Coturnix japonica: one gene and its partners. The protein of the gene in region 2 interacts with the protein of the main gene of each other region in a biochemical or structural test. Links are inferred from orthologs where the notes say so. Each region holds a gene or a part of one and is shown on either strand. Other genes may lie near its edges.

Region 1 (6,195 bases), on a different chromosome or scaffold from region 2:
TCTTTTGGTTGTAGAATAATGCTACTGCAGTACAAACACAAACTGTGGGGAAATCCTACAGCCTGTAGGCAAGTCATTCAGTACGTATGTCTGTGCCATGATTTCATGAACGCAGTGTGCCAAGCAGAGCTAAGTAAAGCAGCTTGTCAGACTGGATGATGAAGCATCCTACATCCAGATACCTAGAATGCCAGCAACAGTTCATATTGCTGTCAGTTTTCCATCTGTTTTATTTTTTTTTCTCTTTTATTGACTTGATTCTTGGGAATTGATAGTAATCCTATTTAAAAGACTCAAATTAGTTTGAATCTAAGCTTTTCCAGTTCCACAGGGTGTGTGTGTTGTGTAGTTCAGGTTTTGATACTTGGAGGGCCTACTTGTGTGGAAATAAAAGGTGCAGGTTTAAATGTCTTCCTGAACTCGGTGGTTTTAGGTGCTTTCCATGATTTCTAGGTCACTCAGACTCAATTCAATTCACTGGGTGTGCAGAAGCAGCTTTGTGTAAATACTGCCACGGGAAGAAGGAAACCAGGACTTACAACTCCAGCATCCTTGTAATCTTCTGCTTCTTGACAAGCTTGCTCAATTATTTGTGCCAACGGAAGAGAATTTCTCGGTGTCCCTGCAACAACAGTGCCATTTACCCCAATGTGAAGGCAAGCCATACAGCCAGTGATGCTTTTCTGATAACGCAGTTATATGCGCTGACATAATAAAATAGAGAGAAATGGGGTAAAACAGTTAAACGAGATGTGCTCCCCTTTGCTGAACGTCACAGCTCAGCTGTATCTGCTCGCTCCTGAAGCCACTCACAGATCTGAGGGTATTGATGCGGTGTTGTACCGGCACTTTCAGCTCTTTTACGGCCCGGCACACAGCCATGAGAACTCGGGCCGGACGCAGCACCACAGGGAGCCACGTGTCCGAGCTGTCCCGAGGCCTGTGCACTCCGCCCGGCCTATATCTCGTCATCCCTCATCTCTCTGAGCGCTCCCCCAGCGCTGCGGGTTCCCTCAGGTGCCCGTTCTTCCCCCGACCCCTACAGCCATGCCGCCCACTTTGCGAGCGGGTCCCGCAGCGCCGCGTGTTCCCCGTCCCGCCCCGCGCTCACCTGGCAGCGCAGCCACATGCACCACGCCGAGCACCGCCGCCCGCAGCCGCCCGAAGAGCCGCGGCCCCGCCATGGCAGCCCGTGTCTTTGGTCCCGCTGCCGTCGGCTCAGCCGCTCACCTCGCTTCACCCCTCCGCCGCGGGGTCGCGCCCGGGGCCTCCCGCCCCCCTCCCAGCTCCGCTTCCGCCCGGTGCCGCCGGCCCCGCCCCTGCTCACACCGTGTGATCCCGCTCCCCGCGGTGCCCCGCGCTCCCCCGGGGCCGGAGCGCGCCCGCAGACCCCGCCCCACCCGGGTGCCGGCCCCCGGCTCTGGGCGCGGGGCCACGTGTGCGGGCGGGAGGCGGCCCCGCGCCGCGCGTTTAAATGTCCCGCTCGGTGCGGGCCGCGATGTGCGCAGGGACGGGAGCGGCCGCGCCGTGAGGCAGGAGCTGCCCGCGGTTGGTGCCCGCAGTCGGTGCCGTGCCCCGCACGAGCTGCCCCGCCTCGTCCCCGCCGCCGTCGGGCGGGCACCGAGCGCCGCGCCCGCGCTGTGTCCGGGGAAGCTCCGGGGTGCTGAGCGCTCAGCGGGTCCCGGGGCGCGGCGGGGCCTTTCCGCGCCTCGTGGCTCTTTGTGGGGGCTGCGGCTCCCGGCTCCGCTCGTGCTCTCGGTCCGGCGGCGGGCAGCATGCGGAGGGAGAGGTGAGTCCGGCCGGCCCTGCGGGTAGGCCGGCTTCTCCGTTAGCGAGGCCGGGTGGGCGGCTCTTTCTTAACGCTTCTCGTTTCTTGGCAGCGACTGCGCGGAGGAGAAGGCTCCCGCCAAGGGGGAAGGGGGCGCCGAGGGGACCGTGCGGGCCCGCAAGAGAAAAGCCGATGTGGCCACGGTGAGTGCAGGCCCGGCGGGCGGCACGGCACGGCCTGGAGGGCGGTGCGGGCCTGGAGCTGCTCCCGCGGCCTTTTGTTGGGGGGTGGGTGGCCATGTGCTGCAGGGGGGGTGAGCGGCCCTAAATCCCTTCTTTTCTTTTTGTAGTTCCTACAGGATCCCGATGAAGAAGTTGCCAAAATTGAAATGAGTAGGAAAAAGCAATATGAAAGCCAGGTAATGACTGTGGCCTTAGATCACCTTCCTTTGGTCTTAGTAGCCTGTTGGTGCAGGATGTTGGTATTACACAGATATGCAGTTACCCCGTGTTGTGTGGTGGTGGTTGAGGGGACCACCAGCCCAGGCTGTTGAAGGCCACAAACCACCTTAGTGGCATGGCCTGCTTTGGAGCCTTTGCAAGGGATGAAGCCTACACTGCTTTAAACCATTACGTGAATGCTTCAGTGTACCTAAATGTCCCGGGGCTGCCAGGCTGTGCCCTACAAAAGCCTTCATACACACTTAGTTTTCCACACTGACGTACCTGGAGCCTTGTAGGAGTTCAGTGGTTCACTTACGTGCTGTATCCCGCAGGCCAAAGCATGCAGCCCTTTGGCACGCAAACAGAACCAAGTTTTGAGATGGATCTCTTTGTAACCCTGTCTTATGCTTACATATAACCTGGGAGAGAGGAAAGATCACTTGTTCCTCTTAGTTAGCTCTATTCTCATTGGCAAGTGTTTTTATTAGGTCGAGGGAGTACTTGAAGTTCCAGATTAGGAGTTTATAGTACTGGATACTACTGTGGTGGTGATGTGGGCTTTAGGCTTCTGCAGATGAAAGGGATGATTTGTTAAAAGCCTTTTATACTGTAGGCCAAAGAACAAATGAGGCTGCTCGCTGGGGTTGGTGGCCAGTGCCAGTTTCCAAATAGGACACTTGGCATGATCCAAGTTACTAAGTCAGACTGAACTCCAGTAGCATCCCCTAAACTTCTTAGTGCTGTTCTTAAGTTCTTCAATCTTGATACGTTAGTCGTGTTTATATTGGGTGCTTTATTGGTATCTGGTATTGAAAGCAAGATGCCTTTGTGCATTGAGATGCTTGCTCTAAATAAAAGAGCAAAATCAGCCTCTCGGAAGTAGGTTTATTCTTGTTTATGATTCTCTCCTGTGCATATGCACACACATGCTCACTCACTCTGTTGCAAGGACTTCAGCCAGTTAATGCACATGCAGGGTGATACTTAAGCTGCAAAAGTCATGATCAGGGAGTACAGACAGTACTCATTTGGTACGCGAGGCTATGCATAATGTGGCACATCTAACCAGAAGTGGCAGCTGGAAGTTCTAAGACTGAAGTGCTACCATAACAGATGGGCATCATTGTTTGGAATGGCCTCTGCTTGTTGCAACTGCGTACACTAGTTATCAGTCAACATATTAAGCAGGGCTCAAATGGTGAGCATTTAATGAGGGGATCTCTCCTTCCCTTCTGTCTTTCTTTTGTGCAGTATATTAAACTAATTTCTCACTACTGACAAGGAAGAGCTGCCTGTCCTTCACTGCAGACCCCTCCTTTAGCAAAACATTCTGGAAGAGCTTCTAATAAATGTTTATTCCATAATAATAAGGTACCATTGAAAAAACCCTTATTGCAATTGTAATTTGAAAAGCGGCTTGAAATATATTTTGCATACATTGATCTTCAGCTTTGGAAGTAGATACAGGGATACAGGCTTCCAATTTACTGGGGCTTTTTCTTTTTTCTTTTTCTTTCTATATGGTGTTGCTATTAAATGCTACTTCAGGAACGATAGGTATAGCAATATTCAGATAACTCAGGCAGGAGGCATCCAAAGTATTAATTTAGGAATTTTCCAAGCTGTCTTCAGGACGCTGGTGGGACTTTGGCCCTTTGATTCTGTAAACTGTAGATAAAAATGGATACCTGTGTATCAGTCTCTACACAGAGAAGGTTTTTTTGTTATGACAAAGTAGCCAGATTGTTACAGATCTGTTTAAAAAAGCTAACATTTGGCTGCACAGCAGCAGCTCTTCAGTCTATGGCTTGACACAAGCTATTCTCTGATATAAATTGCCATGGGCCACTAATGAGAATATGTTTATGGTTCCAGCAGCAGTATCGCAGGCTTGTATGATAGCCAGTGAGATAGTTATTCTGTTGAGGCACAACAATTCTAAAATGCAAGCAGCTATAAATCCTCTGCAGCCTGTTCCACGTGACTTCTACATTAAATAAACTGTTTACTGACACTAGGTTATACATGAGGCAAAATATCGTAGTCACATCCCACTTTATGGCATCTTCATAGTCAATTCATTAGTTTGCTTCTGTTGAACATAAGGCCTGAGTTCTTAATCAGAATGCTGTTACCCTTTATGTGATGGGAGGGTGGCTATATCATGAGGTTTGTGACAGCGGAATATTGCATCAATTCTGTGTTTGATTTTGGAGAACTGGCACTGCTGTCATTCTGTAAGCAATTCTCATATTAATTCTGGCTGCTTTCTATGGATGGATACACTTCCAAGGCTTTGCATAAAGCAAAGTTCATTTAACTTGATGAGAGTAATCCATGCAATTATGATAGAAAATGCGTGTTCTCCTGAATCTAGAGTGGAGAACAGAAACCAGAAATGATAAGAAATCTTGGGATGGGGCTACCTAATCTTTTTGGATAGAAAGGAGACAGAGCAAGCTTTCGGTAATCAGTTTTGATCAATTTCTCATTAGCCACTTTTCCATATTCTAGTCTTACTGTTGTCAAAATTTTCTATCTAATGATCTTAAAATGTCCTCTGAAGAGATTCTTTAACAAGCCTAGGTTGTTTCTGAAAGGTAAAATTAAAGAAACAAAACAAAAATGCAGCAGTGACTACAACAAAAACCTCATGCACTTACACAAGTGAACAATGTTACCTATATCCAAGTTGAGAGCCTGGCTTGGCCCCAATATTGGCAGGGCAATATTTAGACTCTTTCAAAGCCTATAAGTGCCAGAAGTTCCTATGCTGTTCAAAATGAATTGGAATGACTGAACTGTTGCTCTTCTTTCTCCTCTTCATTTAATAATTCTGGAATCTCTTTCTCATGGAAAAGCCCTGTACTTCAACCTCTGATGCTTCCTGTGAGTGAAAATTGACTTGAATTGTAGGTCTTAATGCTTTCTGATGGGCAGAGTAAGGCTGCAATCTAATAGTTGAAGTCTGTCTGCTCAGAAATGCTACATTTTGAGGTGAGACAACCTGACTTGGCTGACTTCTCCTGCTTGTTTGGGTTTCCATACTGAAAATCCAGGGACGCTGCTGTTTTTAGTGCAGTTCTGGGTTACTGTCATTTCCAACCCTCCTGTTGGCACCTTTTGCCCCTAGTAACTTTACTGGTGGCTCTGAGGGGCACAGGTGTCTCAGAACCTTGTGTGGCTGATTTCCTGAAGGCTCTGACTGCCACAGTGATCCAAATGGCCGGTACCTGCTCCATTTGGCGGCTGGCCTATGTGCCCAAAAGGTGTTGCAAAGTTCCACTTCAGTCAGTGTTTGGTACATGGTGACATGCTACAGAAAAATGAGGTATGGGAATCAGCTGCTGTGTTCCAGGTGTTTCTTCTAATGAGTGTTCTCATGTCCTACCTGTATCTAGTGCCTCATGTGCTTTAGGGCTTGCACTGTGCCAGCCCAGAGGAAGCTCTTCCGGATTGCCTCCCACCCTCCTCACCTTAAACTGTTTCACTTTCAGTAGCAGCTCAGCAGTCCTTTTATTTCCTTATGTTTAGTATGCGGTGTTCTGCAATTTCTTGATACTACTGCTTGGTTTCAGCTGAATATCTTGCTCAATCTGCTCTAAAGAATCAGGAATCTAATAAGCTCATCCACTCGACCAAAATACGTATAAAAACTGTGGTGTTTTTTCACTTCAGCTAATTCAGACTTCTGTCTCCTTTCTTGCTTTTGAAGGCCCTGCTTATTTGCTTCCATTCTTATCTCTGGCTGAGCTACGTGCTTCACTGTTACTTGTGTTCTCCCCCAGTTATATTGGTGAACTGTTATCTAGCAGCTTTGTTTTCACATTTAAGACATCTAAAAAAGTCTTGAATCTTGATTTGTTTCCTTATAGAAGATAGGAAGTGATGAAATCTCTCTCCAATCAGTGGCTGCATGGTATCTACTTTGGCTGAGAATAGTGGAACTTTTCTTTTAGCTACTGCTGGTGTAGTAGGCACCTT
Region 2 (7,778 bases):
GATTTCACTCAATACTGCATTCTGTGAACATTGTATCTGTAAATGCAAATCCATAACATCTGCAGGAGAGCTGTCATACTATTTCAGAGTCTGTTTAATACAGTATATTATTGTCTGCAACACTGACCATAAGCAGAGGCCTCAAGAAAGAGGACGAGGAAAACCAATATTCTCACATCTCATGAATATTCCCCTAAAAATAGGGGAGGGAGGCCTTTTCTGGTATCTGTTTATTTCACTGACTTTCCAGTGGTCATTTCCTCTTTGGCTTCGCATGGAATTTGAAGACATAGCCCTCTATGCTAAAAACCTTTGTGCAGACTATTTTGTACTGGTATACGTATACTCCTCAGTAAAGAGTTTCCTGAGCTGCCTATGCCATATTCCAATTTGTTTCTTTTCTCCCACTGAGTCCAAGCCATGCATTTTGCATTTATCGCTTCCCTGACAGAGAGTTCCCAAGTGTGAGGAACCATCTCATTTTGTCTGCTTTGAACCTGGCTCCTACCAGCTCATCTAAATGTCCTCTAAATCTCTAAAAGTAGAAGTGAATGCCCAGTCCCTACTCATCCCTTCCATGCTATTCATGATTTTGTAGAAAACTGACAGCAGATACAAATATAGTAATTATGAATGCTCCCATATGGCTCTGTCATAAATAGTTGTCTGAATAAAAGTCAATCATGACTTCTGTTTAAAATGGATATAAAACAGAAATCAAATATAAAAATTTGAGTAACTAATCAAGGAACACTTTTACACTCTTTATGGTATTCATTTAGCTAACTAGAAATAAAGATGCTTCTGTGAGACACTTTATCCTTTTGCTAAGGAGAGAAATAACCTTGCTAAGGATGAGGTTTTATAGACGCTGTTTATGTTTGATTACTGTGTTGCTCTCTGTGTGTGACTACATCATAAAATCATTTGTAAGGTGAAGGTAATTTACAAATTATCAGAGGCAACCAAAATAGTCTAGCTAAATTAGTTGCTCCTTATTACTTGTGTATGCTCTTCTGCTGTGGCTCTGAAGCTGGCCTACATTACTGCATTTTATTTTACAATAGTAATAGAGGAGTCTTAGTGCAGCCAGGTATCGTGGCTCAGCAATGACTGTTAATTCATGAAGTCATGATTAACTTTGTTGTATGTACATCTGTCAGTCTGTAATTGCTAGACCTGGTGCAAAACATACAGAAGGGCATTTTGCCAGGAAAATATGCTTGTATTAGAATTGTGAGATGGATGCTCTGCTTTGTTGTACGTATTGGAAGGGGGAAGACTGTTCCTCTTAGTGATGAATGAAAACATGCATGGGGAAAGGGATGGCAGCTGTTGATGGAGAGCATGAATTATGTTTGTGTATGGTTAAAGAAGGCAATGACAGACCCTTCTAATTGGATACAAGCACTACAGAGTACAGAAGAAAAAGTAGCTCACCCTTTCCAACAACCAATGATGGCTCAAGAGGAGCTTAATCGCTGTCTGTAGACATACTGCTCCCTCAGCTTCTAACTCTTAAATGAGGGTGAGAAAGGGTGGATCCAGGCTCTGCTCCTTCCAGTTACACAGGTGCACTGCTTACACCTGAGCTCCCTGGTTTAGCCATGCCTTCTCACCTGGTGCCAAACTCTTGGTTCAGGGCATGATCTGGCAATTCTGCTGCAGCATGCAGTAAGTGTGTTGAATGTACCTGTCTTTGGAAAGAGAGTACTACTATAGAAGTCATTTAAATTCTCCATCGCTTCTTTGTTACTTTATCAAGCATTTTGCACTTATCAGAGTGTTTGATTTGCAGAGCCAAAACACTGGTTTTCATACGACTAAAGGAAAATAGCATAATTTCCTAGATAGGAATATGTCCTTGGAAATGCACATATGCAGGTATTAGGTGTGTATGTGAGTGTATCCTTTTGTATATATGTACATGTAGATAGTCCCACCTTAGCAGATAAATGAATTATATACCCTGTTGTTTTAAGTACAGATCAATATAATGTTATGTAATATCAGTAATATAATGTTACTCATAGTTGAGCATTTTGAGTGTTCCTGGGAATGCAGGAAGTGTTCAGTAGTTGGAACTACTTTTGCCCTCTATTTTGCTCTTTACTTCTCAAACTGCAATCAAACTAAAATTCAAAATACACTCACTCTTTCAAAAAATCCATATACAAGAATTGCACATTTCAGTTATTTCCAGAACATCTTTATATAGAAATCAAACCCAGTAACAAGATGTACTGCAGGAGACTCTGTAACACATTGTAGGCCGTATGTACTGCACTCCTCCTGACACGGTGTTATGTAATCCTATCCTGGTTTTTAGTAAATTTAGAGGATGTGCAAAACTCAAAATGTTGTGTAAAAAAATATATTGGTCTATGGCCTTAAAGATTATCCAGAAATAGCAAAATCTATATTAAAGGTGTAAAATTGCAAATATTTACAACGTTCATTGCTCAGCAAAAAATCGCCATCATTCTCAACTATATTCGCATGCTTTTAAAGCATTTGACTCCTTTACAGCAGTCAGGTACACTTTGTGTTTGGAAAATCATTGATCCTATTGTCAGTTTAAAAATAGATTTCCTCAAACTGTATGAGCACTTTTGAATTTATGCATCTGTCACTCATAAAAAATTCAAAGGAGTATGTCTTCAGTTAGAACATTGCAGTGGGAATGGGAAATCTTCAAGAGGGATGGTTATTGCAATCAATACCTAAACAGTTCAAATGTCAGGTAGCCAGTGACTAATTGATACAAATGATTTTATTGCTTTATATTACTTGCTAATTCCTTTGCTTTGTGCTAGTGGAACTGTTTATTGGCTGAAGCAGCCCACTGGGATTGAGTGTACTGTTTATGCAGCCTTAGTGACTGGTATGGATGTAGTCAAGCTTTTCTTGTTGCATAGTTCTTGTAGTCACTCCCCTGGTCAAGGGCTCAATGAGCACATTCAGCACCCTTGTGAAAAACAACACTGCCAGCTGAATGGCTGTAAGCTCATGAGTTTATTTGCCAGGCTTCTCAGGATATATAAACCACTCTCTGCAGCTCTAAAAATGATATGGCGAGTGCGGTAGTGATTTCCTGCACTGAAGGAACATGCCAGCAGGAGTTATGTACTGCAGATGTTTTAGTGAACTCTGAAAAGACCACAGTGTAATACAACACTCCCAAACATTTCTGCTAGCGTGTGATTTTTCTCTCCATCATTACCTTCCACAGAATTGTATCTGTGGGGAACCAATTTATGTGACCGTGCTCTGCAGTATAACAGTGAATTGTTTTGCTTAGTATTATTTAATGTAACTTAGCTCTAAAACTCAGTTTTCTGCATGCATTTGTTACGTGCAGCAGGAAAGAGCACAAGGGGCATAGAAAGTGTGTGTGTCCTGTGTCTGTTAAGGTCAGTTGTGGATCAGAGATTTGTTCCAGGACTTAGTGGTTGCCTGGACTGCTGGCTGGATGGGTCCCTTTTGGTTCTGATGTTTCTCTTCAATTTATAGCTCTGCTGGGGGAAGCACGTGGCTTTTGTTTATTAGTCACTAGCTATTCTGTGAAGGGAAATCCCATACAGTTCCTCTTTTCCAAATTATACACTACAGTATTAGTAGCTTTTCTCTTAAAACAGTCAGTGCTCTCTGAAATTGACAAATAAGCCACTTGTAGTCACTCTAGTACAGACCGGCAGTGAGAAATGTTTGCTTTAAAAGGTGTTTTCTCTTTTTCAGTGTTTGTCAGGTTCAACTCAAGCCATGGCTTCCCGGTGGAGCTTGGGTTGGAAGCCAGCATCCTCCAGCTGAAGGAGGCGGTTGCGCAGCGACAGGGAGTTCCAGCTGACCAGCTGCGGGTGATCTTTGCAGGGAGAGAGCTCAGCAACGACTTAACGCTGCAGGTAAGCCTCTGTGGTAGCTTTGCTCCTGGACTGCTGCCAGCTCTGCTGCCTCTGCCTCTAATGCTGCCAATCTGACATTCATTCCTGAGATCTAATAGAATAAATAGTGCCTGGGGATTCCTTGAACTTTACTCCACACTGCTTCATTAATTCTGACCTTCTTAATTATGCATTAAAACAGCAAGCAGGAAGGATAGGGAGAGCATATGAGTGAGAGAGTATGGGAGAGAGCTGTGCCTAGTGAATAAATGTTTACTGACTACAGAAGCAAGCCATGCACAATTTCTGTATCTGTTCAATTTTTATTTTACTTATTCCATTTGAATCTTAATGAAGAAGGATGTGAATAAATTGCTTCAGATCAGGCTGCACGGTCAGCACATTCTGTAGAATTTGTAACCCAATTGTGACCCCTGGAGGATAGCTACAGGGCTGCTGCTGCTGTTCTGAATGCTGCCGTGTGCCATACACAGGTGAACGCACTGCTGGAATGATGGTTCCAGTTCTAAAAAGCTCATGGAAGTGTGATCCAAACCACCAAGCTCATAAATGTGTGAAACTGAGAGCAGCAAGGAGTGTGGAAGAATGGCTATAAGTGGGTATCTGAATTTCAGTTTTTCAAGGTTAGGTAGCTGTTCAGTTCAATAAGTGCAGAATTGTTCATCTGTGATGAGCTGTAGTAAGCATGGAAATATAGGTTCAATTTTCTCTTCCTTGTACTCTTTACTACTCTTCCCAGTGCTGCCACAGTTGCTTTATCATTGTTTTTATTTATACTATGAGTAGTGAATGTGAATTTCAGAGTATGTTCAGGAAGGGGTTAGCATAAGATCATACATCTAAGACATGTAGGAACATAGGAAAACCTAAAGGCCTTTGAATAGAGTGCTCTTGAATTTACTGCCTTAATGAAACTGCTATCCTTCTGCAGTTGTATCAAAATAACAGACACAGTCTCTACTACTGCAGGTGATTATATAAAAGGTCCCTCACAGGCAGAAGTATTTCATGTTAATTAGCAGTCGTGTTTCAGAAGTATTTCTGTAATTAAAATGGATGCTAAGTCTGGGTACAGAAGGGTTACTACTGTATTAATGACCCGTCCTATTTCTCTGTGGTTAAGATACTCAATATTTTGCAAAGGATTTTAGTGTGTTTTAGGACAGAACACAATACAGAAATATGAACTGTTGTCAGTCCACAATGCATAACCTATAGATAGCATTGATGCATATATTTGTGATGTAAACTGCAGTGTATTTCACTTATATTTTTTCACATGTGAGAAGAAAAATAGTGGAAATTACCAGATACCAGTTGCTAGTTCTGGTTGTCTGTGTTATCCTGTCCTAAGCTTATGAACTCCTAGTGTTTCCTGAGCAGCTGTAGGTATTGGTGTTACTGCTATTTTATGTCACAGACATTGAATCATGTTTTTTGCCTTTAAAAAAAATTGCTGTCAGTTACAACATACAATGCTTTGCTGTGCAAATTAAAATGTGCTTTTTGGATATAGAAGCCTGCTGACTATTTGCTTAATTTATTTAATAGGAATGACAGAATTATCAAGTGTAGCCAAGTCTTACTAATAAACCGGATCTATGTTCATTGCTGTGACTTTCATTTTCTAAAGCATATAGGATGTAAAATGGCTATTTCAGGTGGCATAATCCATATTTGTGTATTTAAGTGCCTTACATAATCCAATGATTAATACCAACATGTCAACAAGATTTTTATTCCTGGTATTTAATTATTTTAATTGTTTTTATCTATTCATTGTAGAAATTGTCAACACAAGAAGAATGGTAGATGGTTTGATATATCTGACTTTTCCTACAGAAGGCAATTTGGGGCTTTTTGCATAAGCAGCTGAGTGCTAGTGAAATAGTAACTGCTGGCATTAATGTTGCATCTGTAATATCAGAGTTAACATCACATAGAAGAAAATTAATAACAGTTGTTTTCTGGACCTAATGATTTGCATGCAGATAAAATAAAACAAAACACAACATACATTTTTACATGGCTGAATCTTAGTTCTTGGTAGCTTAGAATTTCTAATTAGACCATTTTTTCCTTTTGTTTTTATAAATTACTTTTGTGCTTACTTACCCAGGATACTGTGGGAGAATTTAGAGATTTGGAATGAGCTGGGATAATCTTAGGAGTGTGGGGCAGGGATATAAGAAATATATCCCTGGATAACAAAGTTTACTGGTTTCACAGCTTGCAGAACTGCTAGATTTGGCTTGACAGCTACTTTGGGATCTCGTGCAGGTGATACAGAACACAACTGAAAATGTGAAAACTACATTTGTTTTCCTGTTCAGAGAGAATGGAAAAATCTTTCATGGTAGCTGAATACTGTAGAAGAGAAATGCATGCTGACTGGACAAATATTAGAGAGAAATAAGGATAAGGAAGAAAATGCCAACTTGAGATCTTTACATAAGTGAAAAATTTGAGAACAACAACAGTACAAAATATCTAGGAACGACAGGAGTGAAATATGTGTGGAGACATTTAATTTGGTAGCGCAGATTGGTGTTTTGTCCTTGAAAAAAGAGAAAGATTAGACAATGATTCAACTGTACACAAGGGAGATCAGTATCTCTGCTAGTGACAAAGGAGCAAGTAGTGAAATTAGAGCCGTGCTAAGAAAAGATTGGTAATGACTGGGTGAAGAATGAGACTTGCAAAATTTGGATCTCATAGGAAGGAATTAGAGCAATAACCTGCTTCATAAAAGCACAGCAAATGATGTCACTTTAAGGGTGCTAAATATCCTGAAGAATGATGAAGAGCTCCCTGCTGATTACAGTTCACTTTGGAATGAATAGAAGTAATTAATTAATATATACTCAAAGTAGGAAATGTTTCAGAAGACGATCATGGGTATATGAGAACACTGGTAAGAGTTTTTATGTCAATCAGAAGGGCAAAAGAAGAACTCAGTCATAGCAAATTCACCAAAGGAATAAGAAGGTGATGGCTGGGTATTAGGAACACTGAAATATTTAAAGGAGAGATGACTGCTGCTTACAGAAATACTACTGTTGCCTCCAAGACTAGAAAATCAGTTAAGCTCTCTGGAAGCAATACATATATATATAGATAGATAGATAAATATCCAATTTTGCTCAATGCACTTATTTGAAATTTACTAATGTTAATACTAGAAGCAGTATTATATTAATATAGGCTTGCCTTTTCTGGGAGAAATCAAAATCCACTTGTGTAGAGAAACTTTGCAAATGGCAAACAAGAGAGATTCCTTGCCTGGCATAGTTTATACACAAATGATGTGATGGGAATTCATAGCTTGTTCAAAGTCAGCAGAAGAGGGGTAGAATTAAGTCTTCTGTTTCCCAATCTGAAGCCATTTCTTTTAGATGCTTTTTCTTCTGTCAGGTAAATGTGGAAAATACAATTCTGAGACAGGTGGAGACTAAGGATATGATTAGTAGTAGTAGGACTAGCTGGCTTTAGCATATGCTTTGCCACGGAATCTTCCATATCATTGAGGGTTTGTATTTGGCAGGAGCACAGTCTCAAGCCTTGGGTCATAAGCTTTTTGTGAATTTGTCTTGGACTGCATATATCCATGTAGATGCTTTTCTAATGTTATTTATACATGTGTTCAAAAAAGAACTGTGATGACTAGAAGCATTAATAAATTTTGGTGTGTGGGTTGGTGAGCATAACTAAAAATGAGTGAAAGGCAATGATGACATAGATGGTCACTTCTACACAAGATAGAAAAAAAGAAATGTTAGGAGGGAAATACCCAGGCCATTCTATGATTCTATGGAAATGGTGCTATAAATAATTGTAGAGTGCTGAATTGTTACGGTGGTTTGGAAAGGATATGCT
Region 3 (6,221 bases), on a different chromosome or scaffold from region 2:
ATCTATCTGACAGTCCCAGCAAGCATTGCTCTAATAATAAAGCAAATTCTTATATTTGAGCTGACAGAGCATTGTTTTCTCCATATAATATTGCTGAATGTTATGGTATTGAAATAAGATGGGTACAGGTGAGTGTGCATAGAGTGTATTAAAGGTGTTTGGGTTGTGAAATGACACATTGTGCAAGTACACAAGGATATACGTTCCCATCTGAGATGAACAAAGGAAAAATGGTTTCAAGGTCACGCTGTTCATAGGCCTCTTCAAAGCATTGGTTTAAGCACAGGAGCACAGACTGTGTTATTTCTTTCTCAACAGTTGCATGCCTCAGCTATTTCAGAGCTTGGAGCACACTGAGCAAGGAGGAGTTCTAAGGTCTAAGCTGAATCTTGGACCCAGTGTAAGACAGCTGTGCCTTTAAGGAAGGTAACCATGTGGGAAGCTTGTCCGGTTATCAGCTTTAGGTAATTGAATTAATGCAGTGTCTGTGTATGCTAAAGCTGCTGATGTGTGGTTGTGACCTTCCTGGGGACACGGATATCAGTAACTTCTCTGTTCCTTTGTAATGTCAATGTGAATTGGAGAAGGGTTTTGATTTCTGCCCCAAAACAACAAGCAAATAAATCCATTATTAGGAGAACAGGATGGTCAGGAAAAGCCCATGAGCTGAACAAGAGGAAGGTTTGTACATTCAGAGGGTGCTGAGTGGGAACAAGTACGTAATGGCTCAGAGAGGACCCTGTTCTATGCCTGGGTTTCTATTCCAGCTGAGGTTGAGCTGTTAACCATGCAAAACCCCCTGCTGACAGACAGCATGATACACAAGTTAACTTGTTCTTTTACATTTCCTTTAGTGAGAGGCTATAGTGCATCACAGCAGTGAGTCAGAGGGAGGCAGACTGACCATGGGGGGAGCTCCCAGTGCTCCCACTGAAGCGTGGAGGCAAATCTATCACTGAAGGTCTCTGGGAACATTCGGTCTTGATGTTAACGTGGTGTTTGAGCTGTATTCACATCACATTGCTGCATAACCTGACCTGGGTTAACAGGGTAATCTGGGTTGCATCGCGTTTCTTCTTGATGCCGGGTGTGAAATGGATTCAAGCAAATTATTTGGTGTATCCCTGAGGATGGCAGGGAGTCAAATGGCTTCACTGATGGCTGAGCATCATCTCTCAGCATCTCAGTAGCAGATAATTCAATATAAAGCTTCTAAAATCTCCAATTTCCATGAGCTATGCTACTGTCTCTGCAGTCCGCCATCACAGCAGGGGGCGCTGTAGCGCGGCGGTGCAGAACCAGGGGGCGGTCACAGCGGAAGAGCCGCTCTGGTACCGCAATGTGACTCTATGGCAGTTGGGGGGGGTTGGTAGTGGGAGGGCAGAGCGGGGGGGGGAGTTGGGGGTGACGCTCTGGGAAGGAGGTGCGAGGCGGTGGCCGCTCTAGCCGAGCGACTCGTTGGTTCGGAGTCCCGGAAGTAAGCGGCGTTCTCCGAGGCCGGCCGCGGAATGGCGGAGAGTCCGGCCGCCGAAGATGCGGCTCCGGCCTCGGTGCTGGCAACGACGGGCAGCGGTAGCGGGGGCACCTCGACCGGTTCGGGAAGCGGAACGGGAAACCCCGGCGTCTTCATCCCAGCCGAACTATGGGCTGCCGCAGGGTTCGGCTCTTCACCGCCGGCCGCCACCGTGGCCCCGGTTAGCGGCGGAGCTCCCATCGCTGCGGCTGCGGCGGCGGCTGCGGGGGCCGCACTCCTCACTCATTCCGCCTTTTGGGACCCTACGGTCAGCGGGGACTGGGACAGCGAGAGGCCCAGCTCGGCCTGTCTGCTGCGGATCAAACGGTGAGAGGGCCGACCTGCCTCGGGGCCGCCTACCCGGCTTCTCCCGGTCCATAGAGATCTATGGGAAACCCGGTTGTTGTGTGGGGCCTCCTGCCTTCCTCAAGGGCGATGGGAACTGGTCTGCGGGGGTTCGGTTGGGTTCGGGGTTGTGGACTGGTCTATGGGTTCCCCTGGTGGAAGAGGAGGCTTGAGGGAGACTTTATTGCTTTACAGTGGCCTTAAAGGACATAGTGGGGATGTGGGGGTTGCCCTCTGTGCCAGGTAGAAGCTGTAAGACGAGGGGTGGTTTCCTTATGTTGTGCTTGAAGAGGTTCGGGTTGGGTATTAGGAGAAATTCCTCCTAAAGTGGAATTGTCTCCTAATGAGGCGCTGGCAAAGGATGCACAGGGAGATGGTGGAGTCACCATCCCCGGAGGGATTCAAGAACCATGAAGATGTGACACTGAGGGATGTGGTTTGGGGGTGGGCTGGACTTGGACTTGTGGATCTAAGTGGTCTTTTCCAACCATAATGATTCTATAATTCATTACCATGCCCAAGGGCTCTTTTAGGTGCAGCCCCAGGGCTCTGTGCTGAGGGGTTTGGATGAAGGCCACAGCCCCTCTGGGATATCCTCATCCTCCTCCTGCTCTTGCTGTGGCCTTTGGCAACCACACTGTGACACATTGCCCTCATCCTGCCCTCAGGATTGCAGCGTGCTCCTTGAAGGTGCTGTTAAATGGGAGCAGAATGAGCTCCTCTGTCCCCATCAGCAGTTGAGCTTTGCAAGATGTTATCCTAAACCTGCCGGTAACAATCCTTTCCTGGTTGGTGCCCACCCATTTGGCTGCTCTGACTTTTGAAGGATCATCTGGTTAAACCTGGTGTGTCAATAGCCTTTGATACCATGAGCAATACTGTCTTTTATTGTTAGAGATATTGGCACTGTGTCAGCAAGTTCTTCCTCTTCCTTCAGAACAGAATTGCTGCCTGCCAGGCTCTTGCTCATCCTTGTTCTGTTGCTTGTTCTAGAGCTAGTCTAACGTCTTCCAAAGATGGCACCAGATATTCTGGCAGTTTTCCATCCAAGCACCGAAAGCAATAACTTCATCATGTGAAGTAGGAAGGCAAAACTCTCCTGTTGTTCTCAAACTTTGTTATTGCCCTGAAACCTCTCTTAACTCTGGTTGCTTCTTGAACAGGTCTAGTGGTAGCTTGTCCCAGAGTACTGTGAAGCTCTGATTATGATAGGGAGCTTTTTGGCAATAAAAGTTGATGGGTGCTGTTTGGTAATCTCCTTCTTTTTCAGTTCATTTAGTCCAGGAAATAAAACTGTTGTGATTTAAGCTGTGTGTGTGTCCATGTCTCCTAATAGCAGTTGAACCCACTGTCAGACTAAAATCAAACTTGACAGAGCAGTAATGTTTTCAGACACGGTCCAGGTACTGTAATGATGGGGGAAAAAAGTGAATGGGTCTATAGGAGGGACTTTGTAAATAGTCCATGTGTATGGAGAGAAAACAGGGAGGTAAAGTTTTCTATTAGGCAACAATATTCACCAATGAGAGCTTTTTCATGCTGACCTTAGGAGAAATTTATTGTTAATTGTTAGGTTATGGTGTAAAATGCAAGGCAGCGTGTTGCCAAGGTGCTGAGGTCTGATGCCTCACTATTCATTGAATGCTGCTTGTGCTCTTCAGCTACTGTTTAGGATAAGTTAAGAGAGCTCAGCCGAGAAACAGACTCCAAAAAACCCCAACATCCACCACTTTGAGTTGCAGATTCCCATCTTAATTCTGTCCCTTTGCATCTCTACACAGATTTGTCCACTGGAACATTCCACGCCTCAAGGGCTGATCAACACCAAGGGAGATCTTGACTAATTCCTGTTTCCTTTATTCCAGGGATATTATGTCTATTTACAAGGAACCACCCCCGGGAATGTTTGTTGTGCCTGATCCCCATGACATGACCAAGGTAAGAGACACTTTGGAATGAGTTCATGATCCTACTCTTCTATATGTTGCTATTGATGGCTGCTCTGAGGGTTCTCCCAAATGGTGTAATCCCTTCTTGTTTTGAGAGAAGTCAGGGTGAGTCTTGTAAGAGCACAGCGCAGCTCTGGGTTTCTTGGTGACGATCTGGGCTGTATTTAAATAGGAGGAGGCTGTCAAGTTAAAAATGGCTTTGTGGAGAGATACCATCACAGGAACCTGAGGAGTTTCCACTGATAAAGACAGCCCTATTTTGTGTCCCTATGGACTAGCAGAGTGCCAATCCAGCTTGTTCTTTCCCCTACAGATGCTTGAAAAAGAATCACTAGATTAGCTCAGAGAGATCTCTGTGGAAATCTCTTGGCCATGGGGGGGCTTTGTGAGGGGCTGGAAATGAGGAACATATCTCAGTCACTGGAAATTATATGTAAGTCACCTGCAGAAGGCAGAGGTGTTTAACTGTTGTGACCTGATAGTGGGATTAAACCCTGGGCCCAGATCCTGTCCTGCTGTGGAGCTGCCTACCTGGCTCTAACAGGTAACAGCCTCTCTCCCAGAGAGGTTATGGATGCCCCTGTCCCTGGAAGTACCTGAGGTCAGGTTGGACCAGGCTGTGAGCACCTGATTGAGCTGTAGGTGTCCCTGTTCATTGCAGGAGAGTTGGACCAGCTGGCCTTTACAGGTCCCTTCCAACTCAAACAATTCCATGAGCTCATGCAGATCTGACCTGCATAGCTACTCCCATCACATCATCTCCAGCACATCTGTTCCCTGGGGCCAGGTGTGTCTCTTGTCTCTCCTGCTCCAGTTCTTCCCCTCCTGGCTGCTTGGCTCTAGGGATTTTCCAGGATAGGGAATTGCCAATTACACCTGAGAGATTGCAGTGATCTTAGAGGCTGATGTTGCTCAAACAGTGATCTTGATCCAGTGCATTCCTTGGCTGATGCTGCCTTTCTCCAGCCAGTGTCACCTCATCTGGCTGTGTTGGATACTGAGAAAGCTCTATGTGTGTATGTGTGTGTGGATGGGGTTGCTTTGGTTTCTCCTCTGCTGCACACTTCTCTCACCCCCCTTGACAGACTTGGCACTCCCTTGGTTCCCTCAGTGTGAGCACCTGCCTGGCTTAGGGCTCTTGGATTTTTGGAGACAGCACAAAGGGAGTGTCTGTGTGCAGACAACTCAGACCTTGGGCATTTTGCTGGAGCTCTGACCTCCCTCGGTTTGGAGGTTGAAAGTGCCAAAATGCCCTTCAGCAGGAATGCGGGTTTGTAGAACAGCAGCCTTGGGGTTTTTAACTAACATCCTAGGTGGGTGAGAGGATCATTAAAGGAGATTGCTTGGATCGCTTCAGGAGGATGGAAAAGGAGGAAGCTTCCCTAATAGCCCAATGGGAGCAGATTTCCTGGTATGCAACTGAGATTTTTTAGAAGGTAATTAGCGAGGGGAGCATGGGGTCTTAATTTTAGATCCTGGCAGAAGTAATTAAATGATTGGTTTCAATAAAACCAAATCAGCACGAGACCATAAAATTGAGGAATGTTCTGGTTTTGGTGGAAAAATCTGCCTTTTTTCCATGCTAAAATTAGACTTTTTTTTCCCCCCCTCCCCATATTTGAAAGCTTTTTAAAGCAGAGCTTACCAGCTGAACTGTGATTCAGTCTGCTTTGGGCTGTGTCGAGATGTATGGGAGGCAGCTGCTGTGGACCGTGGCCAAACCTCGTGTTGGAAACCTGCTCTGCACATTGAGTGTGGCAGAGGGGAGAGAAGTGTGCAGCAGTGGCTCTGGCTAAAGGAGGGAAGGAAGGGGAGGGGGGTTGTGTATGGCCTGCACGTGGCGTGTGCTTGGGGAAGGTGCTGTGTCCATGCCTGGGTGGAGGTTTCTTGCCTTCGGTTGGCTTTGTTGAGGATTTGATGGTGCTGCACAATTTTGAAGTGGTGCGCAAGATGGGCTTTTGTTTTCCAGATTCATGCATTGATCACAGGCCCATTTGACACGCCTTATGAAGGGGGTTTCTTCTTGTTCCTGTTTCGCTGTCCTCCAGATTATCCCATCCACCCGCCAAGGGTCAAACTGATGACAACGGGAAATAACACAGTGAGGTTTAACCCCAACTTCTACCGCAATGGGAAAGTCTGCCTGAGTATTCTAGGGTAAGAGGAGACTTTGGCTGTTTTGGTGGGAAATCAGGAGGTAGCCACAGGCTGCACTGTGCCTCGCACATCTTTCTCAACACGCTGTGCCCTGATCTTGCCCCAAACATGCTTGGATGCACCTTTATGCTTCTGTGAAGTTATGCACTGGATCAGAGTCGTAAAGCAGCACAAATTCCTCTTCTGAGCTAAGAGTCTGACTTGTCTCTAAAAGCATCTGAGAGCGGAGCGGGGGAAGCATGAAGTTCAGTGGATGC

Evidence for each region. The genes of interacting proteins can lie anywhere in the genome.
Region 1: of the proteins of PRKN (region 2) and CCNE1, one has a biochemical effect on the other in vitro, tested with the Homo sapiens proteins (2 studies listed by BioGRID). The link is inferred for Coturnix japonica from reciprocal best matches to the Homo sapiens genes PRKN and CCNE1.
Region 3: the proteins of PRKN (region 2) and UBE2Z form a complex in vitro, tested with the Homo sapiens proteins (2 studies listed by BioGRID). The link is inferred for Coturnix japonica from reciprocal best matches to the Homo sapiens genes PRKN and UBE2Z.

What each region holds. Positions count from the first base shown.
Region 1 is NC_029526.1:7,172,393-7,178,587, forward strand, and holds the start of CCNE1 (G1/S-specific cyclin-E1), read left to right. Parts: upstream 1-1,440; 5' UTR 1,441-1,775; coding exon 1,776-1,789; intron 1,790-1,880; coding exon 1,881-1,971; intron 1,972-2,117; coding exon 2,118-2,186; intron 2,187-6,195. Other genes in the region: uncharacterized protein F13E9.13, mitochondrial-like, read right to left, coding at 540-622, 1,112-1,184. UniProt on the Homo sapiens protein: Essential for the control of the cell cycle at the G1/S (start) transition.
Region 2 is NC_029518.1:40,119,669-40,127,446, forward strand, and holds the start of PRKN (E3 ubiquitin-protein ligase parkin), read left to right. Parts: upstream 1-3,593; 5' UTR 3,594-3,704; coding exon 3,705-3,902; intron 3,903-7,778. UniProt on the Homo sapiens protein: Functions within a multiprotein E3 ubiquitin ligase complex, catalyzing the covalent attachment of ubiquitin moieties onto substrate proteins. Substrates include SYT11 and VDAC1.
Region 3 is NC_029542.1:3,064,469-3,070,689, reverse strand, and holds the start of UBE2Z (ubiquitin-conjugating enzyme E2 Z), read left to right. Parts: upstream 1-1,466; 5' UTR 1,467-1,508; coding exon 1,509-1,840; intron 1,841-3,723; coding exon 3,724-3,796; intron 3,797-5,776; coding exon 5,777-5,964; intron 5,965-6,221. UniProt on the Homo sapiens protein: Catalyzes the covalent attachment of ubiquitin to other proteins. Specific substrate for UBA6, not charged with ubiquitin by UBE1. May be involved in apoptosis regulation.